4 linked regions of the Tamandua tetradactyla genome follow. The protein of the gene in region 4 purifies or fractionates together with the protein of the main gene of each other region. This does not show direct contact. Links are inferred from orthologs where the notes say so. Each region holds a gene or a part of one and is shown on either strand. Other genes may lie near its edges.

What was found.
Region 1: the proteins of RHOD (region 4) and PLXNB2 purify together in Homo sapiens (affinity purification with mass spectrometry; 3 studies listed by BioGRID and IntAct, counting the BioPlex papers as one, with this or other methods). This does not show direct contact. The link is inferred for Tamandua tetradactyla from reciprocal best matches to the Homo sapiens genes RHOD and PLXNB2.
Region 2: the proteins of RHOD (region 4) and DAAM1 purify together in Homo sapiens (affinity purification with mass spectrometry; 3 studies listed by BioGRID and IntAct, counting the BioPlex papers as one, with this or other methods). This does not show direct contact. The link is inferred for Tamandua tetradactyla from reciprocal best matches to the Homo sapiens genes RHOD and DAAM1.
Region 3: the proteins of RHOD (region 4) and DIAPH2 purify together in Homo sapiens (co-immunoprecipitation; 3 studies listed by BioGRID and IntAct, with this or other methods). This does not show direct contact. The link is inferred for Tamandua tetradactyla from reciprocal best matches to the Homo sapiens genes RHOD and DIAPH2.

Annotation. Positions count from the first base shown.
Region 1 is NC_135333.1:45,659,982-45,667,776, reverse strand, and holds the start of PLXNB2 (plexin-B2), read left to right. Parts: upstream 1-4,788; 5' UTR 4,789-4,954; intron 4,955-5,461; exon of another isoform or gene 5,462-5,840; intron 5,841-7,795. Other genes in the region: protein DENND6B, read left to right, coding at 20-142, 372-467, 639-1,164, 1,249-1,338, 1,412-1,465, 1,620-1,729, 1,820-1,922, 2,031-2,105 and 1 more.
Region 2 is NC_135338.1:5,907,113-5,914,967, reverse strand, and holds the start of DAAM1 (disheveled-associated activator of morphogenesis 1), read left to right. Parts: upstream 1-4,853; 5' UTR 4,854-7,855. UniProt on the Homo sapiens protein: Binds to disheveled (Dvl) and Rho, and mediates Wnt-induced Dvl-Rho complex formation. May play a role as a scaffolding protein to recruit Rho-GDP and Rho-GEF, thereby enhancing Rho-GTP formation. Can direct nucleation and elongation of new actin filaments.
Region 3 is NC_135353.1:78,531,932-78,538,860, forward strand, and holds the start of DIAPH2 (protein diaphanous homolog 2), read right to left. Parts: upstream 3,016-6,929; 5' UTR 2,624-3,015; coding exon 2,495-2,623; intron 1-2,494. UniProt on the Homo sapiens protein: Could be involved in oogenesis. Involved in the regulation of endosome dynamics.
Region 4 is NC_135335.1:7,317,046-7,324,510, forward strand, and holds the start of RHOD (rho-related GTP-binding protein RhoD), read right to left. Parts: upstream 3,011-7,465; 5' UTR 3,003-3,010; coding exon 2,871-3,002; intron 1-2,870. UniProt on the Homo sapiens protein: Involved in endosome dynamics. May coordinate membrane transport with the function of the cytoskeleton. Involved in the internalization and trafficking of activated tyrosine kinase receptors such as PDGFRB.

The sequences.
Region 1 (7,795 bases), on a different chromosome or scaffold from region 4:
ACCCACACCTGCCTGCCAGGTGCTTCCAGCCAGTGCTGATGCACGTACAGATGCTGTGGGAGCTCGTGCTACTCGGGGAGCCCCTGGTGGTCCTGGCACCCTCACCAGCCGTGTCCTCAGAGATTGTGCTGGCTCTGACCAGGTGCTTGTCCAGGCCCAGAGCAGCTAGATAGGGGCAGGGGGTGGAGTCCAAGATGGGGGCAGCCAGGGGTGGGGACAAGGGGGATGAGGGCAGCTGGGAATGGGGCCCAGGGATGGGGTTCCAGGCACATGGCTCAGCAGTGTTGCCGGGCCCTAGGGCAGTCCCCGCTGGAGGCTGGGAAGCACCTGGGCCCAGACTGAGTCCCGCCCTGCCCGCTGCCCCTGCACAGCCTCCTGCAGCCCTTGCGATTCTGCTCTGACTATCGCCCCTACTTCACCGTCCACGACAGTGAGTTCAAGGAGCTCATGACCCGCACACGTGCCCCGTAAGTGCCTCCCAGCCTGTGCATTGCCCAGGCTGCCCCCCCCCGCCCACCCTCCTGCACCCCCCCCGCCCGCTCCTGCCCGCTCTGCCTCTGCCTCTGCTTCTGCCTCTTCTCTCTAGACCGAAGGTGGTCCTGGGAGTGACAAACCCTTTCTTTATCAAAACGCTCCAGCACTGGCCCCACATTCTCCGAGTGGGGGAGCCCAGAATGTCAGGTGAGGTTGGCCGGGGCCTCCCCCACCCTCAGCCATGAGGGGAGATGGCAGCTCCCTGGGGGTACTGCAGCACTGAGCCCCACCTGGCATGTCGTAGGGGACTTTCCTAAACAGGTCAAGCTGAAGAAGCCTTCGCGGCTTAAGACCCTGGACACCAAGCCAGGTCTGTTGCCCCCCTCCACCCCATCCCTCACCCGCAGCTGCCCACCTTCCCCTTCCCAACCTCAAATTGGGTCTGCAGTGGAGCTCAGCCCTCTCACCGTAGGGTGTTCTTGGCTCGGTGGCCTCTTGGCTTTCAGGCCAGGAAGGTTGGGTCATGAAGTTACAGGCGCATTAGATGCCCTGTTACCCAGGGGAGGGGCTGCCGGGCAGTGGGGAGCCAGGCCGCCCCGGACCAGGCAGCTCGCCCTCTGCCCAGGCCTCTACACGTCGTACTCAGCGCACCTCAGCCGGGACAAGGCACTGCTGAAGCGGCTGCTAAAGGTTGGTGTCTGGGGCAGGGGCGCAGATGGGCCGGGAGTGTGGATGGGACCTGGGGCGCCAGGTCTGATGGAGCCCCCACCACAGGGTGTACAGAGGCAGCGCCCCTCAGACACGCTGAGCGCCCTGCTGCGGCGGCATCTCCTAGAGCTCACGCAGAGCTTCCTCTTTCCCCTGGTGAGGCCCACAGGTGGGGTCGGTGAGGGTGGTAGGGGTTGCGGTGGCTGGATCTCACCCCTGCCCTTCTCAGGAACACTACATGACTAGCCTCATGCCTCTGCGGAGGAGCGTGGAGCCCTGGAAGGTGGGTGCTGGGGAGGGCCGGGCATCTGTGCGGGGCTGGGGAGGCAGAGAAATGGGACAGATGGGGGTGGGGGCACGTCTGACATGGGTTCTCTGGGGAGGAGGGCCCCAGCCGAATGGGGGGATGCCCAAGCTCACCCCCAGCCTCTCCTTAGTCGCCGCCCCAGATCCGCCCGTTCCTCCAGGATGACTTTCTGCGCAGCCTGGAGCACGCAGGACCCGGGCTCACCTGCATCATCAAGGGTGACTGGCTGGGCCTCTACAGGTGGGCAGGGTGGGGACTTGCGGGGGGAGGCAGGGGCCATATCCTCCCCTCACTCCGTCATCTGCTGCCCCTGCCTCTCCCTACCCGCAGGCGTTTTTTCAAGTCCCCCCACTTTGACGGCTGGTACCGTCAGCGGCACAAGGAGATGGCCCAGCAGCTGGAGGCGCTGCACCTCCAGGCTATATGCGAGGCGGTGAGGGCCTGGCGGGGCAGGGGCAGGGTACAGGGGACAGGGGACAGGGGGCAGGGGGCAAGGGGCAAGGGGCAGCCAGCGTAACAGCAGCCCTGCTTGCTCCCGCAGGACCTCGAGGCTTGGATGAAGGACAAGTCCGAGGTGGAGGTGGTGGACCTGGTCCTGAAACTCCGGGAAAAACTGGTGAGGCCTGTACCCTGTCCAGAGGCTGGGGATGCTGGGTGGCCCGCCCATGACCCCTGAACCCAGCTGTCCCTGCAGGTGCGGGCCCAGGGCCACCAGCTCCCGGTGAAAGAAGAGATACTGCGGCTAGCACAGCTGTACCTGGAGAAGGTCATGAGCTCTCTTCCTAAGAACCTGCAGGCCGTGTTGAGCCTCCCCTGAGGCTGTGAGGGCCAGAGGACTGGATCCTGACAAAGGCTTTCTCCACCAATGCCCCCTCCCATTTGCCCTCCTCCACTCATGGCCTAGCTCCCACCGCCCCACAGTAAACACAGCATGTGGGCCTACAGCCTGTCCCTGATTGTCTGTTGGGGGGGAGGTATCTGCAGCCAGAGCTCGCCCTGCCTGCGCCCACCTGCCCCTGTGGGGTTCCACACGGGACGGGGCTGGACGGTGTTGCTGGGGGGCCCTGGGGGAGAAGGGCTGAGGCGGAGAGGATGAGGAAGATTTAGGGGGTCTGTGAACATGCCCTTATCTGGACTCTCGCCTGAGCCATCCCCCCTTCTTGGGGGCAACTGACGGATGACCCCCCTGTCTGGCTTGGGGCTCGACTGGGAGGGAGGAGTCTACCCCCCCCCCACCGCCCCCTTCTGGGTGCGGCCCTTGGCCAGAGCTTGGTTGCGGACGGCCACGAGGGGGCGGTGTGGGGCCGAGGGCGGCTGGGAGGGCGGGCCCTCTCAGGCCCTGGGCGGGGCGGTGCTGCTGTGGGGCCACCCCACCCTCAGCCTGAGTGCCCTGGACTCCAGCCCCGGCTCCGGGCTCAGCTGGCCTGCGGCCTGGAGCCTCCGACCCTCAAGCTCCCGAGAAGGCCACACTGACTGGTCCGACTCTCAGCCCTGCGGGGCCTGGCATGTCTGGCCCCTCCCCGAGCGAGGTGGGGTGCAGTGGTCCTTGAAGCCACCTGCAGTCCTGGGCGCTTGGGCAGCGGGTCCTGTGGAAGTGGCGCGGGGCTGCCCGGGGAAACACGGTGGTGGGAGGGGGTAGACCGCGTTTGCCCCTGGCTGTCTGTTCAGGGGCTCCACAGAAGTCCCCTGACGCCCCCAGGGGTGCTGACCTCCCCCAGTCCTGGAGGAGCTACAGGGAGGTATCTGGGCTGGCCTGGCAGCTACTCACTGCTGTGACCACACTGAGTGAGGGGTATGCTATCTCCCAGGGCTTCTAGGGCTGCTAGGGTCACTCCCCACCGAGGGGTCTGCCTGGCTATCCCTCAGCAGTTGTTCCTCATTGATCTGGGAGCCTTGGGGGCCATGGGGGGTGCTGACAGGAGCTGTGGGTTCCCAGGGGGTTAGGTGGGGTTGGGTGACAGGAGGCTGAGACAGACAGAAGGAGGGTGGGGATATTGCTGGGTGGGAAGTCCTGCTGTCCGCATCCTGTCCCCAGACCCCTGCGCTCTCCACAGGATTCTGTCACTCTGGGCCCGCCAAGCCTCTGCACCCACCAGGGCAGACTGAGGCAGCCCCCTCTGCACCCAGGGCCTGGGACGGGTTTATAGGACCTCTAGCCCCAGAGGTTTGCAGGGGTGGCCAAGAGGGTGGGACCAGGATAGGAAAGGAAAGGTTTTCACCACTAGGCTTCCTGCGATCTATTTAAAGACTTGCTTTTGGTCTGGGGTTGCATCCTTCCCATATTTTTGGTATTAAAATGTCATTTTATGATGCAATGCTTGTCTTTTAATTTCCTTTTCTGGCAGGCTGTCAGACCCCAGCAGTTTGGGGTCCCAGACTTGGGCTGTGGTTTGGGCTGGACCAGGATCTGCCTGGGGCCGGGGTGTGGGGACAACGGGGGAAGTCTGCTCCGTGGGGGAGATCTTCAGGATTGGGGTTGTTCCTTGGAGTGGGGTGAGCAGTGAGGGGTGTGATTCCTGAGGGCTAGTGAGGGGATGGGAGGAAGTGAACATGTCTGTGTGGAGAGAAGGTCCTCAAGTGGGCCAGGGCTGGACTGGAAGTGGGGAGTGGCCCCTAGTCACCAGGGCTCCCTGGGTCTTCCACCCACTGGACTGGCAACTCCCTGGAGGGGTAGAGGGAGCAGAATTGGCCCCACACAGGGAGGCCCCCACGTTTTCTTAACTCAGGGGTCCCAGGGACATCAGGACCAGGCACCAGGGTGCTGGGCAGGGCTAGAAGCAGCTCCCCTACCAACCACCCTGTACCTCCAGGCACTCAAGGACCAGTCTGGTGGGGCCGGTGGGTTCTGGAGGCGGAGAGTGGGAGGTGAGTTGCAGTCAAAGATGTGAGCTGTGAGAGGACCCCAGGGGAGCCCTCTTCCCCTCAGAAATTTAGGAGTGGCAGGGCAGTTGGGTGCTGGCGGCTGGCCAAGCCTGGAGGAGAATCCCCCAGCGCTGGGGACCTCGGGACCGGCTCGAATCCCAACCCTGGAGCCGGCGCGGGGCACTCCCCGATGGTGCCTGGCCGAGGGGGTTACTCTGTCTGGCGTGCCTTGGGTTGCTCCTGCCCGGCAGTTCCGCGGCGACCCGGGCTGTCGGCTGGGCGGGCGTGGGGCGCACGGGGAGCGCGGGCCTCTGTCTTTCTCCCCTCCCTCCTTTCCCTACCCCCGCGCTCCTCCCCTCTCTCTTCCCTTCCCACCTCTCCTCCCACCTCCCCTTCTTCCTCCCTTCCCTCCTCCCGACCCACCTCCCTTCTCTCCGCGCTCCTCTCCTCCCTCCCTCTGTCGGGGGCGGGGCCGGCGAATCCCGCGCGCTCCAGGGGCCCCTCCTCGGCCACACAAAGGCCTGTCTCCATGGCAGCCGCGCGGGCCGCAGCGCGCAGGAGCGCGGCCTGGGCGTCATCGAGCCGCGGCAGCCGGACATGCAGGTACCCGGCATTGGGGGACGCGGGACCCGGGGCGATGAGCCTTGCAAACAACGCCCGCTCCGTGGCTTGCTGCGGGGACACCTCGGCGGCGGCGGTCGGTCTGTCCTCCCGGCCCGCTCTCTTCCCAGTCTGGGGAGGCCTGCGGCGCGGGGCTGGGGACGCGCGCCTGGCCGCGCGGGGACTCCCCCGCCAGAGCTTCGGAGCTCTCCGGCCGACCCTGGCCCTCTGAGCAGCTCCGACTTCTCGCTGGCCCTGGAATCCCCGCCCGCCCCGCTGAGGCCGGGGCCCCGAGACCCTGGCCACTATGTGCGGGATTGGCCCTGGCATGAAAGGGCCGCAGCCGTCCATCCCCAACCCTTGCCCGAGGTGGCCTCCCCCCGCGCGCCCCTCAGACTCCCGTGGGGAGCCCCGCGGACGGGCTGCAGGGTGGTGCAGGGTACTGGGTGCCGCTCCTGGGGTCTTGCGGTGGGTTGTTGGTGTTGTTTGGGCCATACCTCCCGGCACAGGAAGCCTCAGAACTGGGAGTGAGGGGTGGGGGACAGCATGCTCAACTCCTGGTGCCTCCCCTGCTGAGTACCACCGTGGGCCTTTTGCATCCCTTCTGAGGTTTGGCAGGCTGTCTGGCTGATTTGGGGGGGGGTCTTTTCTCCCGGATCTGGGGGGTGTCTAAGCACAAGAGTCCCCTAGCTTCCTGCTCAGACGGAAGGAACTCTTGTTCCTCCTCCTAGGCCCTGGGAAAAGGGAAGAGGGCTCTGTCCATGTGGCCTGCTGGCAGTGGGGCCCAGGACTGGGGTGCGGCTGTACCCCAAAGCTGGCAGGACATGCCCCTAGGGAGTCCCCCTGTGGGTCTGACAGCAGCCCCCTGCACCTGTGAAGCCACCTCCTGGTAGGAGATCCTTCCTGGGCATGGGGTGGAGGATGTGGCTGGGCCCGGGCCTGTGGGGCCTCCCTGCCCCTACCCAGTGGCCACCAGGCCTGGGGGAGCCGGCGGGGCCAAAGACCGTTCCTGGGAGGCTGAGAACAAGCAGGTGGACCCAGTCGCTCTGTCCCCCGCCCCACCCTGCTGCCCATCTGGGTTGCCCAGGGCCCCGGAGGGTCTTGGCTGCCGGAAAGAGTAGTTACTGAGAAAAACAAGCGTTTGGAATGTGGGTCCTCCCCTCCCCCGCCGGCCGCCTGCCAAGGAGGAATTATTTTGGATTATCCAGCTCTGTGCAGCCGCCTGAGGGGGAAGGCTGCGGCCGTGGGAGACAGATCCACTCTGGGACGTGGGCTGAGTCCTGGGAGCAAGGGGCAAGCCCGGGCAACACCGCCACCCGCGGCTGCTCAGACCGGTCAGGGGTGGGGTGTGAGCGGGGTGTGTCACCCCTGGGCTGGAGAGGGCCCGGAGGGTGGCCCCAGCAGGCCTCTGCAAGTCTGTCAACCCCTGGGAACCCCAAGCAGGAAGAGCCCTGGACCTTCCCCTCAGGGCTGGGAAGGGGCTGGGCCTGGGCACCCCACTGTCTTCCAGAAGCCCCATGACATGGGCTCTGCAGCCCTCGAGGTTGGCTAGGGACAGCCCTCGGGCAGACTGCTCAGACCCTTGGGTGCCCACGGGGTGATGAGGGGTGAAACAGTGACAGTGGCCAGGCTGGGGGAAGGGTGGCCCGGGCCCCATGCCTTCCTCTCCCCTTGCACTGGACAGCACAGGTTACCGAGTCTCATGGGTGCAAGGAGCTTCCTCTGCCATGTTGGGGTGTCCTAACTGGGTGGGGTGTGCTGCATGGGGCCGCATGACCAGGTTGTGCCTACCACCGGGGAGCAGAGCTGGCAGCTGGGCTGAGCACAGGGATCCTGGGGGCCTAGCCCCAGCCCTGGCCAGTGGAGCAGAAGAGATTGGATTGGAAAGCACCAGGGTGGGCTGCCTGCCCTCAGAGCAGTCCATATGGCCCGCAGAGCCCCCTTCCAGGATAGGCTGGTTGCCTGCACTCGGCCATTCGCAGGACGTTCTGCCAACTGGCCCCTGCCTGGGACCTAACCCAGGGGGCCACAGCCAGAGGTCCCAGTCGGTCAGCGGGCATGGGCAAGGTGTGGCCTCCCAGGCGGAGGCTGTACCTTCCAATGCCCTCCCCAGTTCTCGGCCTGGGCAGGACCCCATGAGGTAGCCCTTGGCCATCAAGGCGTGTCCCTGAGCTCATCTTCCTGAGAGCAGGAGGCAACACACACACTAGGTCCAGGGCCTCCACCAATGGGGACAGGTCATCAGAAAGGGTGGGTGCTGGTCAGGCAGAGGCCCCCCACTCCTGGCTAAGGGCTGTTTGTGTTTGGGGTGGGGGCACCAGGTGGGGTGAGGCCAGGCTTCTGACTAATTGTAATTGTCTTTGGGCCTTAAATTCTGGACTTGGTGGCCTGTAGTTTGCCAGCCCTCTCCGTGATTTGGGGTGCCCCTGCCCCCACGCCTTCTTCCCCCAGGCCATGCAGTGTTTCCACATTTTTCTCCTCAGGGCAGTTTCACATCCTCCTTGATGAGTCCCCGCCCCCCACTGCCCTCTGCTGCGTGGGCACAAGTGCTACCCGGTCCTGTGTCCGACACACCGCATCCTGCCCCACCCCATGTCCCCCCAAGACCTCTCCCCACCCCACGTACCCCACTGGCCCTTTCCCTTCCCCATCGGCCTCTGGCTGCCTCCCTAGGCTGTTCTCAGCCATCCCCAGTGTTGAGTCAGCGGCTGCTGAAACAGGCCACTTCCCCACTTCCACGGGGTCCTGGCTGGGGCAGGAGGTGGGGGAGCTCAGCCACCAGCCCCTGGGCCTTGGAGCGCCACTGGGAGGTGCAGAGACCCTGCCCCGGGGCAGGCCAGCCCA
Region 2 (7,855 bases), on a different chromosome or scaffold from region 4:
TCAGTTCCAATAGCATCTTCCCAGATGTCATCTCCATGACTTTGCATATTCTAAAGCAACACTTCCCCTTTAGAATCCCTGGCCGGTCTCTAAATAACTTGCTTTATCTATTTGAAATTAGAGTAATTATGTTAGTCTGTTTCCTCTCACAAGATTAAGACTCCCGGGAGAATAGAGCCTCATCTTTCCGGTTCATTGCTGTGTCTCCTGTGCCTAGAACAGTGCCCAAGGAGTTCAATATGTATGTATTAAATGAATGGATTTATTTTTGAAATGCATTTCTGAATACAAATCACCAAACTTCTTTTTTTCATGTACTTAATGTAGACTAGGGGACTACAAACTTTTTTCTATAAGGGAAAAAAGTCTAAATTTTAGGCTTTACTGGCCATAGAGTCTCTGTGGCGGCCACTCAGCCCTGTCATTGCAGTGAGAAAGCAACCAAAGACAATCCCTAAACATGAGTGTGGCTATAATCCAAGAAAACCTTATTTACAAAGATTCCTGGCAGGAGAAGGGGTGCTGGATTTGGCCCATGGGCTGTAGTTTGCTGACACCTGGGTGTAGAATAAATTTGTTTTAACCCACACATTCTGGAGTAAATGTGGAAAGGGTATAGTGGTTGAAGATTAGCTGTTTTAATTGGAAGCTTAGTTCACTCTGTTTGCAGCTAGACGGGAACGTGGAGTGAGAACTATTTGTAGTGTGATAGAAACATTCCAAAAGAGAGGGCTCTCACAGGTGGCAGGATGCATTTTAGCACAGTTGTAAAAAAAAAAAAAAAATTCAGGTACTGATTTAGCCTTGCAGTGGCATTATTAAGAGAAGTATTTCTGTGAATTGAAAGTTGAAAGAGTTTTTCCTGACTACCCTTGGCCAGGTTAAGCTAGCATAGGATTCGGTTTAGGCTAATGTGGAATGATTTACTTTAGCAGCAACATTAGGAAATAGAATGAACTGAGACTATGAGGTACTTTGTCCTTTTTCTTGTGAAAGAAGAATAAAACTCAAGGATACCTGTATGCTATTTGGTACACTTTTGGAAACTTGAATTTATAAAATGTTTGTAATAGGGAAGACATAGGCAACATGTTGCCTCACTAGGATACCGCCACGTGTCTGAACTTTCCTGATACCAAAAGAACAGGTAGTCCCTGGGCTTTCTCCTTTCTTCCCACACCATTCCCCAAAGCACTCACCAGCTGGTCATGGGAAGAGCCTAGAGACTAGTTATTTCAGTTATTTGACAGATCACAGATTCTACGCTCATGGTTGGTTCCCCCAAAGAGTTTACCATCTAGAGTTGGATTGCTACTTTTCTTCAACTGAAAGGGTTAAAGAAAATGAAATATTTGTTCTACTGAGCAATTAGAATTGGATTATTAAAATCTTGATAAAATTCCAAGTAATATTCAAAACAACATCATAATCAAACCAAAGCATTCATAAGGAGGCTTGAAGTTCATTTGCTAGGTCAGACTCCCCGGTTACTGGTTATCTTTTTGGAATCACTCCTTGAGATGTATTTAATTGCTGTGTTGTAAAGTTAGTGTGTGACCTTGAGGAAGTCATTTAAGGAAGATAGGTAAGATGATGTCTCATATCCCTTTTATAACTTGTGATGGTTTTTAGTTAAGCAAATAAACAAGTTCCAATTTTCCTAGAAAAGGGAAAATCAGTGAACCCCATAGACCCCTTTGAAGCTATTAGTTTGCTTTTAGATGAAGCATTCATAACTTGGTTCTTTTTCAAAACAAAATGTTCTGCTTAGAATGGCTTGTGAAGATATAATTGGCAAATTGGAAGAGTAGCATATTTGTTCTTTACACTGAGTCTTTTTTATTAATGGATACGAAGGCCATTTAGGGAGAAATATTGTAGGCAGAAATGACTCATGTTCTTAATAGATTGGTTCAGATTCTGGTAATGAGTGTTTTGGATATTTCTCAGTTGTTTTTTAGACCTTTATGACCTGGTGAATGAGAGAAAGTTCAAAAGAGACTGGTCACACCCCAGTCCTGGGCTAGATAACTGTCAGATGGAAATGGAACCCAAAGTATCTTAGGAGCTTTCAGGAGGCAGTAAGGCAACTGACTGGCTATTGTAGCTTTTTGACTCCCTTTCCTCCTGGTGGGTATAACAGTTCTCTAAAGCTCCCTTTGTATTTCCCCTTTTTCAAAATATTTCTGAGATCATCCTAATTGGAAACGGCTTTCACATTCTCTGAACCTTTATAGTAGGTTATACCTCTTTTGTGGCATTCACGTATCTATTGCCTCATACTTTTATTGCGTTCATGAGGCTCTCCTCTGTTAGACTGCAAGCTCCTTAAAGCATGGAACCTGTATTTTTTCCCATTCTGTTGAGACAGTCTTGGGTGGAATTAGCTTCTCCTTCCTCTTCGTTCCCACAGAACTTGCGGTTATTGTGATCCTCTGCAGATCTGCCTCCTCCTGTTTATCTCTTTTACTTCTCAAAAACACAAAGCATGACTTATTCAGGTTCGCATTCCTGATCCTTCACATACGGCCCCTGGCACATAGCTGCTTAACAAATGATTAGATGAGTAGATGAGTGAGTGAAGTTGTAATCTAAATCATTAGAATATGCAATTTGGTATGTTTTTGTACAATAAGCTTTACTTGGAAGTAAAATGTATTGCCTTCTAAAATATCAAGTGTGTTGATGATACAAGGGAATCATCTATTTCAAACATAATTTAAGTGATGTTTCTTCCAGCAGAGACTTTAAGCAAAAGAGTCTTAGACTTTGTTTTATTAGATGACTTTAGGACAGGGTGTCTAGCAATGGTGAGTATTGCAAAAATGGCCAAAATGTAAGTCTTGAGGTCAAGTTCTTGCTCTGCTGGTTAGGAGTGATTTGACCCTTTCCACGTCATTTAGGCACTCAGAGACAGTTTTTCATCTGTGAAGCTGAAATAAAAGCAATATCTGATGGCCTGTACCTCACACTCTTCTCCTCCTAGGGTTGTTGAGAAAATCAAGTGATATGGTGAATGCAAAAGCACTTAGAAAACCATGAATTACCTTATGAAGGGAATATACTATTACACTGTTATTAAAGAGGGTGCCACCCTATGGTTTTAACACTTACAATTTTTTTTGTGTGTGGTTATATAAAATAAGTAATCCAACCTCTAATCAGGACAATTGGCTGTTACTCAAAGAGGAGACTTAGTTTCCACCTGTCACACCCAGGTCCTGCAAAAAAAAAAAAAAAAAGGTAGTAATGCCTAGTTAAACATACTTTCCTTGTTGTCATACTAGTGCTTTTCCAGATGGAAGGAAAGGGAGGTACAGCCAATGAATTCTATGCCCGAAGCCGAGCACTCTTCAGTCACCACACCCTTGCCTATTTTAATTTCTCCTTCCCCTTCTTTACCTTCCCCACTGTTTGATACCTTTATCATACTTTTTCTTCTGTAGCCTCCAAAGAACTTGCAGATTTTTGACAGTCTTCTTAAATTTGCTTTGTTGTCTACTTTTTTCCTGTCTTCACTCTATCTTTCCCCTCGCCACACATTCTTTATCTCTCAAACTCTACTGCAGAGAACAGAATTAGAGATGATTGGCTAAATTTCAGATTGTGTTTTGTCTCTGAGAAAGGGGAGTCCTTTCTGAATGCTACATTCTTTGCAACGATGGTAACTTTTACATTTTAGTAACTTTTCTTTATCTTTCAGCTCCATACATTCCAGAACTTGTGCTTCTTCTAAGCATCAGAGAGTAAGTCCCCAGTAGGCTTGCTTTATGGTTCCTGGAAAGTCAGTCTGGCAAAATTTATTTTGGAACAAATTTTTGTTCCAAATGGGAACCGTCTAGAAAACAGGTACTCCATCATTCATATCGATGTATGAGCAAAGCAAAACTGAGCCTTTCCTAAAATGAGACATTTGTGTTTGGCTTTATATTTTGATTGTTAGGTTGACTGTTGGGTTGAATCTTAGAAATTAATAATGCAGCAGCTTGAAAGATGTAAAGATTTAGGGGTATGATGGTATAGAAAGAGAATAAGCTTTTGTGATGAGACAGGCAGGGTATGAGCCCTTGTAGATGCCCTCTAGGTTGATGGATTCTGATTATTTTGCCTTTCAAGATCTTACTTTATTGTGTGAAACTATGGTATCTACTTCCCAGTGTGGCTATAAAAGTTGTATGTTGAATATTCCACATGGTTTCTGATATCTCAGAGGCACTCAGTAAATGTTAGTTCCCATCTCATTTAGTTAATTAGAGCATGAATCACAGTTCTTCACATTGTTAAGGCGCAGAAGCCCCATTTAAATTGGCCCAAGATAAAAGAAGTTCATTGAATCATACATTGGGAAGTTCAAGGGGTATCTGACTTGAGACTCAGCTGGATCTAGTAGTTATATGTTGTCATCAAACCTCCTCACCCCCTCATCCATCTTCCCCCATCTCTCCGTTCTGATTTCATCCACACTCATCATTCTACAACATGGTGGAAAAAAATGGCTACTTCAAATCCCAGGTGTCTGTGGTCCTTCTGTCTTGTGATCCCAGGAAGTAGAAAGCCACCCTCTTTTCTCCAGTTTAAATCCACCATAAGACCTCTGGGTCTCATTTTATTGTGTGTCTATCCCTAAACCAGTCACTCTGACTTGGGAATGGGGTGCCTCGATTAGCCAAACCAGTGCCAGCTGCCCACCTGCCCCATTGGAATCGCCTGGAGAAGGAAGGAGATGGAATAGTTACCAAAGGTGAAGATAAAAAAGTGGGACACTTCTGCAGAAGACCCAGGTTCGATTCCTGGACCATGCGCTTCCCCACCCCTGCAAAAAAAAAAAAAAAAAAAAATCTCTATTAAAGGTAGAGATTGGGGTCCCAAAGACAGCTACAGGTTACTCTCAAATTTGTGTGTTTTAAGGACCTTTCCTGCAAATTTTGGTTGATTGCTTTAAACTAGAGGTTCTTGTACTGGAGCCCATGGTATACTGCAGAGAACTTGAGAACTTCCTGAAGTCATGAACAACATTTTATACATATGCACAGAAACAGTTTTTTTTCTGAGTTAGTGTTGCACAACATGTTTTCTCCAGCAAAATCAATAAGGACTTTTTAATTTTATAAGATTCTGCAAATTCTTTGGCTTGCCTCTGCGAAACATTGGGAAAATTTTAGGAAGGGCTCTTTCACAACTATTGTTGGAAGATTAGCCTGATTAATAGAGTCTCTTATGGTTCAGACACTTTTATTTCTTCTTGTGGGACCCCTTTCTTGAATGAAATTTCCACAGAGGAAAACACTAGGTTTGGTAACTTGGTTAAAGTTATCTGTGTTTTGTAAGATGTGAAGTAATTAAATTTTGTGGGTGCTTTTGTGTTTGAAATTGAGAGCTTGCTTACAAATTGTGGTATGTGCTCATATAAACAACAGGTAGAAAGAGCTAGCTTGTGTACATATTTTTTCTTGTCTTTCATGCATAAGGAACTTCTACAATGGACTGCCAGTTCTCTTCTCAATTGTATAATAATAGGCAAGAGAAAGAATTCTGTTTCCTTGGAGTCTGTTCAAACACTGGAACCAGAAGGAGGAGTTTCCCTGCTTCTTCTAATTATATTCCGTAGCTTCTCAATCAAAATGAGGGTTTACCTGGCAATGGGTAGAAACGACTTGGCTTTTACACTCTTCCATTATTAGGTGAATGAATCAGACCTTGGGAGTGATGTGCAATCTCTGATACTAATTGTAGATCTAGAATTCTATCTTAAATCATAAACTGTCCTTTTCCCCATCCTCAAAATCAGTTGTTTCTTATGTGGGGATTTGATGCTGTAAGTATTAAATTGCTCAGATAAAGTCAGGAACCACAAGCTTCTAAAATGGATCTCCTGTTTCACTTCGTCAGATATTGGCACTGGAAGGGATCTTGAGGATTCTCATCCCATCTCTTTATTTTAATGATAAACTAAGGCTCCAACAGGTTAAATAACTTAACCAAAGTTAAGGTTTGGAGTTCAAATGAGGACCTAGGTCTCCTGTCAGGCTGGCGTGTTATATTTTATATATCTGTATTTCCAGGTATGCAATTTCAACAAATTATCTCCAAAATAATGTTTCCCTTGACCACACATGGTAAAATATACGGTCTCTGAAGGCAAGAACGAAGTCTCTCCTTTTCATCACATGTGCCTTGCAGCAGCAGCAGTAGTCATAGTGTGAGGATGAGGATGGTGATAATGCACACCTCCATTGGGGTTCTTGCCCGGCTTTGTTCTTTGCACTTTGCATGTACTGCAGCAGCCTTGTGGGTTGGATACTATTGTGATCCTCATTTTGCAAATGAGGAAACTGATGCCCAGGCACACAGGGCTTAGAACTCGGTATAGAAGGTACTATGTAAATATTTCCTGAATGAAAGCGCTGAAATTTCCAAAGCACTTTCATAACTTTACATAACGTGATGACATTTCAAGAGAGGGTGTTATTCTGCGGAGACCATAGCTCAGAGAGCTTCAGGAGCATGGCTGAGGCTGGAGGATATGTAATAGCAGCATCGGGAACAGCTTTGACCCCTACGCGTTGTCGGTGACATCTACAGACACACATCTTAAACGCCCATGGCTGCGGGCGTTGTGAGGCAGCATCTGGTTTTCTGTCTACCCGCAGACTGGCTGTTTTCAGAATCCTTTGTTTCTTTGTACAGATCCAAATTTCTATCTAGTATCAATTTCTTTCTGTCTGGAGAACCTACCTTGCCATTTCTCATAGTGTAGGTCTGTTGGCTGTGAATTCTCTCAGCTTTTGTTTATCTGAAAAAGTCTACTTCCCTTAAAAAATTATTGTGGTTATATATATATATATTTTTTTTTCAAAAGAAAAAAAAATAGTGTTTTATTAACTACCACACTGTTATAATACACTTTAAACGTACATTAAGGTAGCCTTTAAATTTGAGGTGGTCTTAAGAATAACAAATGAACAGAATTCCAAGTTTTTGAAATAGGTGAACTGCTGCAGTTATAGGTATACATTTAGGAAAATTGTATAGCTCTTACAAGACCAGCAATGTAACTTTGTTTTGTACACTTAATAATTGAAAATATAAACAATAATTAAAAAATGAAAAGAAAATACAGTGGAATAAAAAACATACAATTCTCAATTAAATGTACTGGATACATAAAATTTTAAGGGAAGAAGCAAAAAAGGAAAATGGCTGATATTTAAGTACGGACTACCTAGACCAAAGGGAAAAAAAAGCAACTTAAAAAAATATCATAAAACCTCTAGCTTTCTATGACTAATATCCATATGGTTGGAGTATCGTCACTATGGAAGTGATTTTGTTATGTTTGCATATGTTATACTTTACTGGTAATTTACATGATGGCTTTTAAGGCCCTGGCAGACATACGGTATTTGAAAACAAGATTGGATAAAAATCACTGCTAAGATGCAATACACCTTATTATTATTATTATTTTTTGGTCCTCCAATATTCAAGAAAAGGGATAATTCACTATTACACTTTTTCTTACCACCCAAATGCCTCAACCTATACATTTGAAACTTTAAACATTGGTTATATTGCCCAACTTCATTATTGAAAGGATATTGTGCTGGTTTGAAAGGATATATGCCCCCTAAGAAAAGCCATGTTTTGATATAAATCCCGTTTCTTAAAGGTAGAATAATCTCTATTCAATACTGTATGTTTGAAACTGTAATGAGATCATCTCCCTGGTTGATGAGATTTAGTTAAGAACAGTTGTTAAACTGGATTAGGGGATGACATGTCTCCACCCATTTGAGTGGGTCTTGATTGGTTTACTGGAGTCCTATAAAAGAGGAAATATTGGAGAATGAGAGAT
Region 3 (6,929 bases), on a different chromosome or scaffold from region 4:
CAGCTGAGTCATTTCCTTTACTCGATCCTTTTTAAGTCGATGGTTCTTCTTTAGTGAAGGAGGCCTTCACAAAGCTTATGGAAGCAATGGAGCCCAGAAAAATGAATGTACCTATATACACTCAAAAAATTTTAAGACAATATCAGGAGTTTAAGAACCCCTATCTCCCACAATCACCTACACAAACAATTTTCCATTACCACATGGCTTTTATAATCCCACCTCACAATGCCTTTACACACATACACTCTCTCTCTGTCTCTCTCAAGGTATGACAGTGATTTTTTTATTAACACAATACTCAAAATAAAATTTAGTCCAGGCAAAAATTTACCTTATTTGCAATATTTTAAGTTAAGAATTCGAGATCAATTCTTTCCTAAAAAGGCTTCAGAAAAGCACATTGAAAGCTTTCATGATAACACTAAAGACTGCATAAGAAATAAGACGATTCTCGTTGTTTGGTCGACTTACTTGTCTTAAATTGTGCTGTAATATCCTCCTAAATTTGTTTTTTATTAACTCTGACCCAGCTGTTTGCAAAATCATGTAAAGCTCAAAAGCTATGTTTGAGCAAAAAAGAAAGCTCATGTCAATATTAGCAAACTTGGATTCAAGTACTTGTTCTAGTATATCAAGCTATGTTCAACACTGAACAGTGAAGCTGGCTGGGAAATGAAAGTGATACCATCTCAAAACTATCTAGTTACCTTGTCAACACAAGTAAAATATAAAAGATGAAACAGGACAAATGGCCAAAGGGAAGGGAAGAATATAATCAAGGTGTTACTACTAACAGACAGAGATAAGTGCTTTTTCTTGACAGCACACTTAAAATTTCTTGCTGGAAGTACCAAACTATTAGTGGAAACTATTAGTTGACTTTAATTCTTACTTAAACTCATAATTGCTGATTAAACCACAATTTTACATTGAGCCCATTTAAAAATAAAAAAAAAAGGAAAGATGCTTACTCTTTAACCACAAACTGATAAACTGCAAAATCACAACATCAGAATCTGTAAATACCTTAAGCTTTGGTGATAAACTCATAAAACTTTTCTAAGTTTCAGGGCAGAGAGAGGACAGAGACCAAAAAGAGTAATGAAGTATTCATTAAACCTCTGCCAGCACAGACAAGTCACAATGAGCCTTCATTGAGTTTCTTCTACTTGTAAATGCTAGGGTAACAGGACACAACAAGTAATAAGTTCACAATTTTCCTCATGTTAAAATGGAATTGATGAGACTTCAACCTTCTGTCATTTTTATCTATCCCACCAAGTCCCTTCCCACATAAGGGAAGGCTATATGGTTCTCGAAATGATAACCTTTGATCACTGTTTTACAATAAGGACCGTCGATAACTGAAAGGCAAATATGAGGGAAGAGAAAGAAGTACAAACAAATACACAAAACGGTGAAATGCCATAAGAAAAGCTTTACTTATATGTTGCCGTTCCCCTCCCTATGTCTATCAAACTGTTGGTTAAAACTGAAAACTAGATTTGCAACATGTGGCTTGTGCTTCAAGTCTAGACTAAGAATCTTCAGAAATAATTATTTGAATTTGTGCTGGAAAATCCTTAACCTTGGGCCGCCAAAATTAGAAAGTTTACAAAAAGAGGAACTGAGTTTACTGATGAGCTGAAGAAACTCCAGTATTTCCCAATCTAATACCAGGCCCCATAGATTTCATTCCTCTGCACGTCAAGCCAGGGACAGGAAATGGACTGCTTCCACTGCTTCACACTATTAGGACGGTGAGACTTGCAGTCTGACTACTGTTTTTGAGCATGTTTGGTCAAATAAGTGGAAGAACGCTGTGACTATGCCTATTACACAGGACAGCTGATGATGGTACCTCAGCAAGCCTCCAACTCCCACGCTCCCTGCGCCCTTACAAAGAAATGTTACTTGGGAGAGCACATGGAGAGGCAAGGGGAGAAACGCACGTAGACGCCCCTTCTCTTAGATTTCTGGTCAAGTAGAAAGATTGAAGGCCTAAGTTGTTAAATTTTTGGTTAGCAAGGCTGTGGGTGGGCCGCCGAGTACCTGGATTAAAAAGGAGAGAGGTTCCTCTGCTCCTGACCCCTAGCATGAGGCAAAACAGTAATTGGCAGGAGGTGGGAGGGGAATGGAATCGCGCGAAGGTGGCTCACACTCACGCTCACAAGTTAGACAAACAACAAACCCTACCCAGTAAGCATTCCGGATCTCCCTAAATTGGGGTAGTGCTTTTTGGCCTGAGCGCACTGCCTCCCGGGCTGACACGAGTGAGAAAGGAGTTAAGTGTGTGGGGGGGTGCTCTTCCGCCCCCACGCCGCCTCAGTGCCTCGGCGTGGCCGCTCCTCTACAACGCGGCTTCCCGAGTTGCACAAGGAGGTTGCCGTCTCCCTTGGGAGGGGGCCGCGGGTCCCCCTGTGTTCACCAGCAGAAGGGTCCCGGGGCTCTCCCTGTCCTCAAGGCCAGCGGGGGCTGCGGGAGTACTCACCAATTTGGGTTTGTTTTTCGTTTCCTCTTCGTTGGCGGCCCGGTTCCCAGTGCTCCGCTTGTTGCTCCGGCCGGCACCGGCTTCCTCGCTGCTGCCTCCCGCTCCCGCCGCCGCCCCGGGCTGCTCCATCTTTCTCTGGCCTTGTCACCTGTACCCTAGAACCCTCAACTGAGGAAGCTCCACGGGACGCTCCCGCTGCCCGGCGCTGATTCGGCAGCACCTCTTCCTGTGTGGATTATGTATGGCTGGGGAACTGCCGTTTCAGGCCCCGGGAACTCCCGGCTGCAAAGCACCCCTGACGCAGCGCGCCGTAACCACTGCTCAGCGCTAGGATAAGCCCTGCCCCTGAGCAGCTGCAATTACCATGGTCGCCGCCCTCTGGGCGGTGTTTAGGGTGAAAGGAAAGTAGGTGCCTATCTCTTTAAGAGGCCCTCAACACACGTGATTCATCAAAGTACCCGCATTGAGTCGCCCCAACACAGAAAGCTGCTTCCTACTCCTGGTGCCAAGCTTGCCCCAGCTACTGAGCATGCCCAGCTCTGTATCTGGCGCCTAACCAGAGTACGTGAAGCTGCGGTTAAGCACTGATTTCACTTCCTAGTGGCCCAGCGTGAAATGGGAGGGAATTAGTCAAAAGAGAGGAGGGTCCATTTTAGAGACAGGGAAACTGAGGTCCAGGAAGAGTCAAGTGTAAATTTCACTGGCGGCTCTACCTGAATATCAGCTTCCACCAGGGTAAGCCAGAGCACCTTCCTTCCCAGAGGCCCTGCTGAGGGTGTGGCCTTGCTACATCCTGTGGGAGGGTTTGATTGGCAAGGCAACTGGCATTCTATAGGAAAACCACAGAAGCGCTGATTAATTGCCTCGATAGACTGTATAGGTCAAAGTGGAAAGAGTGGGTGCTCTCTGTTGCCATGATTGTGTTGCCACCAAAGAAATATAGTCGTTCCTTTATTCCCCTGCTGCTGGGTTGTTGCAGAAGAAGGCGCTCACAGCTTAATCCCGAGGGAGTGTTAAGGCTCTTTAGCCAATGCACCTTTATGAAGCTGACATTTATATTGAATGCCATTTTCCTGTTTCCCAAACTAGCTTAGATTTGGGAGTGAATATCATGCGTGTTAAAGCTCTATTTTAAATGTAAATCCCTAGACAAATGCTGGGTACTTTGGAGCCGCAGCAAACACCTCTCCATGTATTGTTAGTCTTTAGTCCTTGAGTTGTACCTAACATTTTGTCCTCAGGAAAAGGCCCAAGTTTTATTTCTTGCATTCTTTTGAGATGGGGCCCTTTGAAAATAAAGGTTACACTCAGGACATTAGAGAGGCAGGGCATGATTTGAATCAACCACCATCAGAGTATGAGAACATTTGCTAGAAGTGTAAATTCAGATACCAAATCTATAAACATGTCTATATGCTGTTACTCAGCCCTTCTCTTCTTCAGCCCAAATGCCCTATATGCAAAAGTAAAAAAAAAAAAAGAAAAATACTGAATCTAATTTGTATTTGAACATCTATATTGAGAATACATTAAGGTGGATTAGACCATGCTATATTTGTGATGAGGCAACTAACTTGGACAGTGGAGTGAAAAAGGACATTAGATGATCTTACACTGGTCTGAAACCAATCTTTTTAATCTCAGCTTTTTTATTGTCATTAACTTTAATCATGCAGGTGTGACTTCCCTACTCCAAAGGTTGTAAACTACCCAAGAACCTCAAAGGAGAAGGAATGCATACTTCCAGAGAGGTGGACAGGGAGCACTAAGGACAATGTTGCTTTGTTGAAGTTCCTATTTGACTTAAAATTTGATGTGTTCTTTTAATTTGGCTCCACACACACATACACAAACACACACACACAAAAACACACATACTTTACAGGAAATTACTTGTGCCCCCCCCTCCTGAAAAATTGAGTAGATGTGGATGTTGCAGAAAAATGTGACTTACTTATCCAATGCTTTCATGTAATTCCTCTTCGAGACATGTGGGTGTGGGCCTTAGCTGAGGATCCTTCAAGCTTAAACACTGCTTAATAATATGTTCAGTAGACATTTATTGAGCTCCTCGAGTATAACAGGTTGTTTCAGTTTGCTAAATGCTGCTGGAATGCAATACACCAGAAATGGAAAGACTATTAAAAAAGAGAATTTATTAAGCTACAAGTTTACACTGGTAAGGCCATAAAAATGTCCAAACTAAGGCATCCAGAGAAAGATACCTTGACTCAAGAAAGGCAATTGTCTGTCACATATGAAGGCACATAGCTGGTATCTGCTGGTCCTTATTCCTGGTTCCATTGGTTACAGCTTCTGATGCCAGAGGTTTCCTCTCTAAGCATCTGTGGGCCTTCACTTAGCTCCTCCGGGACACAACCCTTGGTTTTGGCTTGCTTAGCAACTCATGAGAAGGCACATGGTGACATCTGCTGGGTTCTCAATCTCCCAATGTCCATGACTAGGCATCTGCTCTCTCTTCAGCACTCCACACATCTCCAGTTGTCTGCATCTGTGTCAGCTCTGAAGCAACTCCAAAATGTTTCCCCTTTTAAAGGACTCCAGTAAACTAATCAAGAGCCACCTTGAATGGGCAAAGTCACATCTCCATCTAATCAAAAGGCTACACCCATAATTGGGCATGGCACATCTCTGTGGAAGTAATCTATCAAAAAGTTCACAACTACAATTGAGTAGGTCAATTTCCATGGAAATAATCTAATCAAAGGTTTCCACCCCACAATATTGAATCAGGATTAAAGTACATGGCTTTTCTGGGGTATGCAACTCTTTCAAACAGGCACACAGATGTTATACAGAATGCTGTGGGTTAGAAGGATGAAGATGACACAGTTTCTGCCCTTTAGAACCTCATAGTCTACTGGAAGAAGTAGACTATTATAAACCTGCATTATGCTATAACAGAAATGTGATCAGGGAGCCCATAAATCACATGAGAGGTAACTAACAGAGTGTCAGTGGTTCAGGGAAACCTTCCCAAAGGACATGATGTTTGAGTTGATCCTTGAGGCTCAGCCTTAGGCTGAAGCCTAAAGTAAGTAAATATTTGTTGTGAACCTACTAAGTGTTAGGTACTATGCCAGACATTGTGGGTATAATGGTAAACAAGACAGACTGGTCTGGTCTCCTGGAGCTTTAAGGTTATTAGGAAAGATATTAAACAAAAATCTGTTGAGCAATTATAATGCAAAGACGGGAAGCAAAGAGAATTCCAGGCTAAGGAAATGATGATAGCATATGCAAGGACCCAACGGTTAAGAAATTGGTGGTAGTAGTAATGGTGGTAGTGGTGCTGGTGGTGGTAATGGGTAGGAGGACTGTTGGAGAGAAGAAGCAGAAGAGACTGGTTTCAGAACATAAAGGTTCAAACTCATAGGTCTCATAGGTGTTGTTTTAAAAAAGGAGGTGTTAGGAGACCTAAAAATGCACTGATGTTTGTTTTAGTTCATTAATACTGCTCTAAATACAATACACCAGAAACAGGTTTTATAAAGAGAATTTGTTAAATTAAAAGTTTACAGTTCTAAGACTATAAAAATGTTCAAATAAGGCATACAGGGAAAGATACCTTGACTCAAAAAGGGCAGTGGGTCCAGAACCCCTCTGTCAGCTGGGAAGCCACATGACTAGCATCTGCTGGTCCTTTGGGTTTTGGATTTTAAAGAGTTCCTTGGGAGCATTTTCTTTCTATATCTCCAAATGTCTCTGCCTGTGTTGGCTCTGAAGCTTTTTCCAAAATTGTTCCCTCTTAAAGGATTCCAGTAAGCAACCTCACTTTGAATGGGTGGAAGCATATCTCCATGAAACCAGCTAATCAAAAGTTCCTGCCCACATTTGGGTGGATTACATCTCCATGGAAACAACTTAATCAAAAAGATCCCACCCAACAATATTGAATTTGGATTAAAGAACATGTTTTTCTGGGGCACACAACAGTTTCAAACCAGCACAATGTTATTTTAAATTTGGGTTTTACCATCCTCACAGCAGGCTAATCTACATTTGAAATCCAATTAGAGGTTGTGATGGTTTGAAGCTGTATGTACCCCAGAAAAACATGTTCTTTAATCCATTCCTTTAGGTGTGGGACCTTTGTAAATAAGACTTTTTGATAATGCTACTTCTGTTAAGGTGTAACAGAAGTAGGATGGGTCTTAATGATCTTATTGAGGTTTTATTAAACTTTATAAATGGAATGAAGTTCAGACAGAGAGAGAAGGCCATGGAAGCAAGAATATGAAATCAACAAAACCTGGAAGAGAAGGGAGAGACCAATAGATGCAACCATGGGCCTTGTCATGTGACAGAGGAGCCAAGGGAAGAAAGCATTGCCTTCATGATGGCTTGAATTGGACATTTTACAGACTCAAAACTGTAAACTAATAAATCCCCATTGTTTAAGCCAACCATTTCA
Region 4 (7,465 bases):
TGGGTGGGGAGGAATTCAGGTTCCTGTTTTGGCAGCTGAGGAAGATGGAGAGGTTAGGGATAGCCTTAGGGTGGGGATGGGGGGGTGGGGGGTGCAACCCACCCTGGACTTGGCCACCCCATCACTCCCTGTACCAATAGGAACAGCCCAGGACCCCAACTGCCTCCCCAGGGCCTGCCCCAGGGCCCCTCCCCTCAAGCTCTGGCCCTCACCGGCTCTGTGACCTTGGACCAGTCACTTGGCCACTCTGAGCGGCAGCCCCCTTGCTGGTTAAACGGGAAGATGAAGTAGGAAGCCTGGCGTCCAGGTGAAGCCCTTAGCACCAAGACCCGGCACTTAGAGGCTCGCCAGTCACTGTCCATGCCCTCCAGGGGTCACCACCTTTCCCAGCCCCTTGCCAGCCCCTGACCTTTGCCCTGGAATGTGGGTGACAGCTGTCTCTATAATCTCCCAGGTTGACTACCCACTCACCAGGAGAGGGGCTGGGGCAGGACCCTCCCGATGGAAGCTCTCGGGAAATGTGTCAGCACTTTGCAAATGACCCTGGTGATGTCCCCAGCGCCCGTGAACTCTGAAGACCTACTGTGAGTGAGCCTCTGCAGCCACCATCCCTGATCCTTGCCACCTTAGGGTATCGGTTCAGTCCCCTTTTTCTGATGAGAATGTGGAGGTCCAGAGAGGGGGAAGTGAGACGCCGGACAGCTTGTCAGCGACGGAGCCAGGATGCTGTCCCCGGCCACCTGCCTTTCTGAGGTCACCAGGTCCAGTTCCTGCCCTGTCCCCGGTGCCTGCAGCGAGCAGGAAAGCCCCATCCAGAGTTCGTGACTGCCACAGCACTTCCTTCCACTGGGGAACATCATCCTGGACACCTCGTCCACACCTACTGTTGTAACCTTTGAATGGTCAGGCAGGGTCACCCTTTGTCCCAGAAGTGTCACAGGAACCTAATCTTATCTGTTGAGCCAGAGAGACCAGCCCAGGCCAGGCCAGGACAGACATGACTCCGGCCCCAGGGCTGCCATCATGGGGTTCGGGGACGGACCGATGGAGCATTACAGGTCAGGGACACAGCTTGAGTGAGGGGTGTCAGGGGTTCTCCTGAGCAGGACACCCTGGGGGTCCTGGCACAGACCGGGAAGGATGCAGCTAATATCAGAAGGGACTGACCCCCAGGTATCCCCACCTGCCTCGGGAGCTCCCTCCACCCCGACGCCCCTGCCAGTGGAGGGCCAGAGAGGCCTCTCCAAACCCCCAGCCTGCTCTCTGCCCAAGCCTCCTAGCTGCTGCCTCCCAGGCTGAGGGCTGCCTGGAGGAGGAGACCTGGAGCAGGGGGCAGGAGGAGGCTGGGTCCAGCAGGCAGAGCACTGGGATAAGGGGGGCTGCAGAGAGTGTCCAGGCTGGAGCAGGGAGGGGAGGGCCAGCTTCCAGACCAGCACTGCCCCTGCCCACTGCCTGCCCCAAGGGAGACTACCCCTCTGGTCTCAGTTTTCCCACCTGTACAATGAGCACCTTCCCAGCTCTCAGATGGGTGGTTTGTTTAACAAAAGAGGCTGCTCTTGGCACTCACCAGGGGGTGGAACATGGGCTTGTAGGTCCACCCCCTTGGTGACAAACATACCCTCCCCGCCCCTGGCCAGCTCATGTGTCCTTCAAACCGCTTGCAGTGCAGTGATTGCAAAACGCTTAGCGGCCCACCATGCTGCAATTGCGAGGTTCCCACCAGGGCAGCGTCCAGGGGCCTGGAAACACGGCCACCCCACAACTGACCAAAAACCCTATGTCTGGCCAAATGGGCTGACGTCGGCTCAAAAAGTCCCAAGTTAAGAGCCGGCCCCACATTGCCCCAGTTAAAGAAAGCCCCAAGGCTGGCTGTCACCAGGCCGGCCTCTCCCACCTCCCCTGCCAAGACTGTCCAGCACCCACCCACACAGCCCCGGGGGGTTCGGAGGAGAAAGGGAGGAAGCAGAGTTGCTGGAAGCAAACCCATGGATTCTTGGGGTGGCTGGACTGGGGCGGCACCTGGGGGGATCCGGCCCTGCCCTGTCCCGGTGCCTGGAGTGGGGGAGGGGGGTGAAGGAAGGATAGTCACCATGCCCAGAGTGCCCACGCCATGCCAGGCACCGCACAGAGCCATTGAGCAGCGTCACCTTATTTCTACTTCACTCTTGGGGTCCCTCCATCCCATGAGGTCGCTGGGAGAAAACTGAGGCTCAGAGAGGCTGAGCGAGTTAGCGAGGGTCATGTGAGGAGTTACAGAGCCGAGGTGCCCTCCCAGCAGTGTGACCCCAGGGCCGGTGCTCTTACCCTCCACTGGGATGCCCAGTGTGGGGGCCAGAGCTGGGGGTGGGGAGGGAAGAGAGTACCCTAAAGGGACAGTCACCAACTCCCCTGAGTCCTACTGTGCACAAGCTCAGTGCCCACTGCATGACCAGTCTAAATCCACCCCTCACAGAGACCCTGCGGAGTGGGCACGTTCCTATGGTTCCTATTATACAGTTAAAGAAATGGGCACAGAGAGGGTAGGGCACTTGCCCAAGGGCACACAGCTCGAAGTGGCAAAGCTGTGATTTGATCCCAGGCATCCTGGCTTCCGAGCCGGCACCGAGCCAAGCCGTGCCACCAAGCGCTCCCAGGGCCCGCGACGGTACCCAGTGTGTCTGGATCGGTCCCCGGTGCCTTTCCCTAAGTAGGTGCCCTCCTCCCCACTCTGCAGATGACATCCCTGGGGCCTTCAGCCCAGATGGCACAGCGAGATGGGGAGCTTGCTGCCCTTGACCCCGCATCCCTGGCAGCCCCTTCCCCAAGCCCGCACCCCCCACCCCACCCCTGCCCCAGGCCACCGGCCGGCCCCGCGGGGCGCTGGCACTCACCTCGGGGAAGGCCCCGTGGGCGAACACCATCAGCAGCGACGTCTTCCCGCAGCCGCCGTCGCCCACCAGGACCACCTTGACGGACGGCACGCCCGGGACCTCCTCCTCGCCCGCGGCCGTGGCCGCCTCCATCGCGGGGCCGCGGAGGGGCCGGGGCGCGCGGCGGGGTCGGGCCGGGCGGCGGCGCAGGGACCGGCGCGGGGCAGGCCCGGCGGGGCAGGAATGTGGAAGGGGCGGGGCGGCGGGAGGAAGTGCGGGCGGGCGGCCGCCCGTCCAGGTGACAGGTCCCCCCGATCGGCCGATCGCCTGGCCGGGGTCCCCCCACCCCCCTACCTCGGGGGCTCGCTCCCCTTTCACAGCTGCTGCAGAGCACGCATTTATTGAGCGCCTACTGTGTGCGGGCGCTGAGGCCACAGGAGGGATCCGGGCTCAGCCTCTGCCTACAGGAGGGGGCTCTGGCCTGGTGGGGAGAGGACAAATGGCTGGACAGTGAAGGAGGGGGTGGGGGGACAGGATAAGAGGAGGCAGGGAGGTGGGGGGTGGCCTACCAGCTCCGGGTACAAACAGGGACTGGGTCACAGAGTGGGAGGCTGCGACCTTGAATGAATGAATGAATGAATGAATGAGCATTTTCCCTCCTGCCGCTGGGGACAGGATTCACAGCCCTCCCTCCAGGCGTTTCAGGCCAGGTGTGGAGGAGGTTGTTCAGACACGCCCTTCTGGCCTGCCCTCCCCCTACCAGCCCTGGGAAGCTGTCAGTGCAGGTGGATGACCACCTGTGTCGCCTCTGGCTGGGGACTGATGGAGGGGAAAAGGTGGAGCCTTCCAGCTAGGAAGTGCCTAGCCCAGAGCCCAGTGCATGGTGGGGGCTTGTGTGGGGGTGGTCCTTATTATTTAACCAATACGGATGACCTGCCCTGCCCCCCCATGGTGTTCAAGGGACTCTGCAACCTTCAAGACCAAATGCCTGCCTTGAGAAGCCCCAGCCCATAATGGAAGTCTGCCAGGAAAACAGGGCAGTCCGAACGGGCATGGGGGAAGGGGATGGACAGCAGTGGGACTATGGAAGAGGGACCACTTGCCCAGCTCGAGGGATCAGGAAGCCCTTCTGGGCAGAGGGACCCGCTGGCCAGAGCCTGAGGGAAAAGCGAGACAGTCAGCTGGAGGAGGGAGATAGGTGTTTCAGACCGAGGGAACAGCATGTGCAAAGATATGAAGGCAAAAGAGCGGTGGTTTGGGGGGGCCGCAGCCACTCCGGGCACCTGATCTCCCCACCTGTTAGTGGCCTGGTGTAGTCTTGGGTTGAAATCTCTTTCTAAAAAGTGCTAGAGTCTCTCCAGATCCTGGACTGTTTTCTTTGAAGCTTTAAGGGACGATGGTCGGAAGTTTTTGGCTTTCACCTCTCCCTGCCCCTTGCAGGCTATGACTCATCTCCCAGGGAATTCAAAGTCAGGCAGGTGAGAAAGCACCTTCAGCCCCCTTTGAACCTCACTGTGGCCGAAAGAGCCAGCGAGGGCAGGAGTTAGTGCTCCCCCAGTGCACAGAGAGGTAGAGTAACTTGCCCAAGGTCACACAGCTGGAGCCCAGATCCCTGACTCCTTTTCCAGTGCTCACCCACAGAACCACGCTCAGCAGGCTGAACGGGGCCTCGCCTGGATGGAAGGCGTGTCCCCAGGACATCACCACCTTTCAGGTGCCCCTTCCTCCCCGAAACTGCCATAGGGCTGGGTAGTGACTTGGCACCTGTCTGGGTGTGTAGCTGCTGAGCAGGACTCCCCGCCCCAAGGAGTGGTGGGGAGAGGCCCTATGCTCGGCTGTCCCGTCATCCCCCATCAGCCCCGTGGTGGCTGCTGTCATTGGGTGGCAAGGCTGGGAGACAGATGGGCCAGTCTGGGGGTGGAGGGAGCTGAGCGTCAGACAGTGGAGTTTGGCCTGGTTGCTATGGTGATAATTGCTCTAATGACACCCTGGCCGTGCATTCCAGTTTCACCGAACATTTCCTAGTGACAACATCGCCCATTAATGGATGCCAACCACATGTAGATACTGTCCGCCAGGAGGCAAGAATTATCAGCCCCATTTTACAGATGAGAAGCCCAAGGCCCAGGGAGCTTAAGCTCTTTGTCCGAGGCCCACAATCAGTAAGAGGCAGATCTTGAAGGTGAACTCAGGTCTGCCCCAAAGCGGGGCTCTCTTCTCAACATGCTCTCACGCAGCTCTCAGCCTGGGCACAGCTCACCCACCCCATATCATGGATTCAGGAACCAAGGTTCAGAGAGAGGCGGTGGCTCGTCTCAGGCTAGCAGGATGTAGAGGTGGAATTTGAACCCAGAGCTCCTAACATCAAGCCCCAGCCTCACCCCCACCCTCTCTGCCCCTGCAAGGGGGGAGCTTGGTGAGTGGGCCGTGGAATCTGCCTTGCTCGGCAGGGAATTTCCTGGAACCTCAGGCCTTGCTGGGGCCTGGACCACACTTTCTCTGCAGTTTATTTTTGGCATTGGGAGGTGACTCAGGTCACTGTCTGCCCCAGCCACGGTAGCTGGCATGGTTCCAGTCGAGTGTGGCCACTGTTTACTACCAGACTGTGGGTGACCCAGCTCCTCCAGCCCCCACCCACCCTGAGTCCAGAGTCGGTTGGGAACCCAACTCAGTGGGTCACTACCCCACCGACCCCAGAAGAGCAGAGGTGGCCAGGCCAGCCCTTGGCCCTCAGCAGAGTCCCCTCTGCAGGGCTGCAGGTCCTTTGGCCCTGAGCTGGGCGGGGAGCAACTCGGATTGCAGCTGACCCAGCTGGGCAGCCTGAAGAGGAGCCCTGGGGTCAGGCTGGCCCCCAGCAGCTGCTCAGGATGTTATGTCTAATTGACTGCCTGGCTGCACAGACACGGGAAGGCAAGGAAGAGGAGGGAGGGTAAGAGAGAGGGAGGGAAAGAGAAAGGAAGATAAGCTGGCTCGAAAAGAATACATAAACTGAAGAAAAGAATAAAAGGAACCAATGACTTCCTGGATGAGTGAATATAGGACATGACCTGAGGTTCTGGAGACAGGTGGCCACTCCCCAGCCGCCACCTGCTGCAGCTTCGCGCTTCCCGGCACCCCATCCAATCTCAGCCCATCGGCCTCATTTTTTATCTGCCCCCTACCCAACCCCCATCCTCCGGTGAGGCCGGGGGGACTCTGCTGCCCCGGCTGATCCTCTGCTGCCCCCATGTGGCCACTCTGCTCCCTGCACAGTCATCTTCCTGGCTGCTGGCTCCACCCGGTGTGGGATGTTTGGGGATGGGTGGACCAAGGGGGAAGTAGGTGCCAGGTAGGTAGAACCTCAGAGGTCCAATCCTACCCCCTGGGATGCCTGGGCAGGGTGCACTGTTCCCCCCCCCCCCCCCCGCCGCCCATGCTTCCCCTTGTGGCCCCATTCCACCCCAAACTCCTGCTCTGAGAGCCGTTCACCTTGGTTAGCCCTTCTCCACCCAAAGCTTTGGTCACACACTTATGGAGCACCTACTGTGTGCCAGACACGGCACGTGTCATTTCAGTTCATCCTGTGAAGCAGGGACAGCTCTTAGCCTCCTCTGACAGATGAGGAAACTGAGGCCCAAAGGTGCCATGGACGGTAAAGGGAGGAGCTGGGATGCAAACCCAGGCAGTCAGGCTCCAGATTTCTGAAAGTCAGAGAGGAGGGGGCCCTCAGAGGCCATCCCATCCAATACCCTCACTCGTCAGATGGGGAAACTGAGGCTCAGATAGGGGAAGCATAAGTAACTGCCCAGGCCTCTGGAACCCTGACAGGCCTCTCCTCAAAGTTTCCCCTTGTCTGGCCTCCCCCAGACCAACTCAACCCTGGCTGCCGTTTCACTGCCTCACCATTACTGATCCTTCGGGAGGGGCAGAGAGGTGGGGGGAGCCCCCGGGCCCAGGCCTGGCGCTTGCTTAACCTTCTGGTTTGTTCCTTCAGGTGTCTGCAGATGTGGACCACCGATGGCAGGAGAGAAGGGGTCAAGGTTTGAGCTGCTGGAAACCATGGCTGCTCAAGTAGCTCCTCTTGCTTCTCCCAGGTGACAGACCTGGCCCAGGTGCCGGGCTAGTCAGGTCAGCGACCCCCATACCTGTCCTTTCAGGTGGGACTTGATCTATTCCTGAAAGCTCCCAGACAGAGGGGCCTGGAGTTGGAGGAGTGGGTAGAGCAAGGGGCCGGAGGAACCGGGGGAAGTCAGAGAGATGATGGGAATGAGTAGGGGGATACAACGGAGAAAGAGGAAAACAGCTTCTCTTAGTCTTAACTGGCCTGACCTCTCTCCTGGAAAGTTCCTTGATTTGGGCCCTGCTGAATGAGCCTGAAACCAGACTCTGGCAGCTCAGAGGCCTTCTGTCTGCCCCTTACTGACCAAGGTCAATGCTCACTCACCTCCCTCTTGTCACCTCCAAAGCTCCTTAGAGCAGTTCCTTCCTCCCTCTGACCTGCTCCAGTGCAAGACCCCTCTGTGGCTCCCCGGTGCCAGCAGGACAAGCACCTACTGCCTCAGCCCAGACATCCCAAGCGTAATGAGCCCAGCCCACTTGATCTCTTGAGCCTCAGTGCCGTGGTGTCAGCTCCCCAG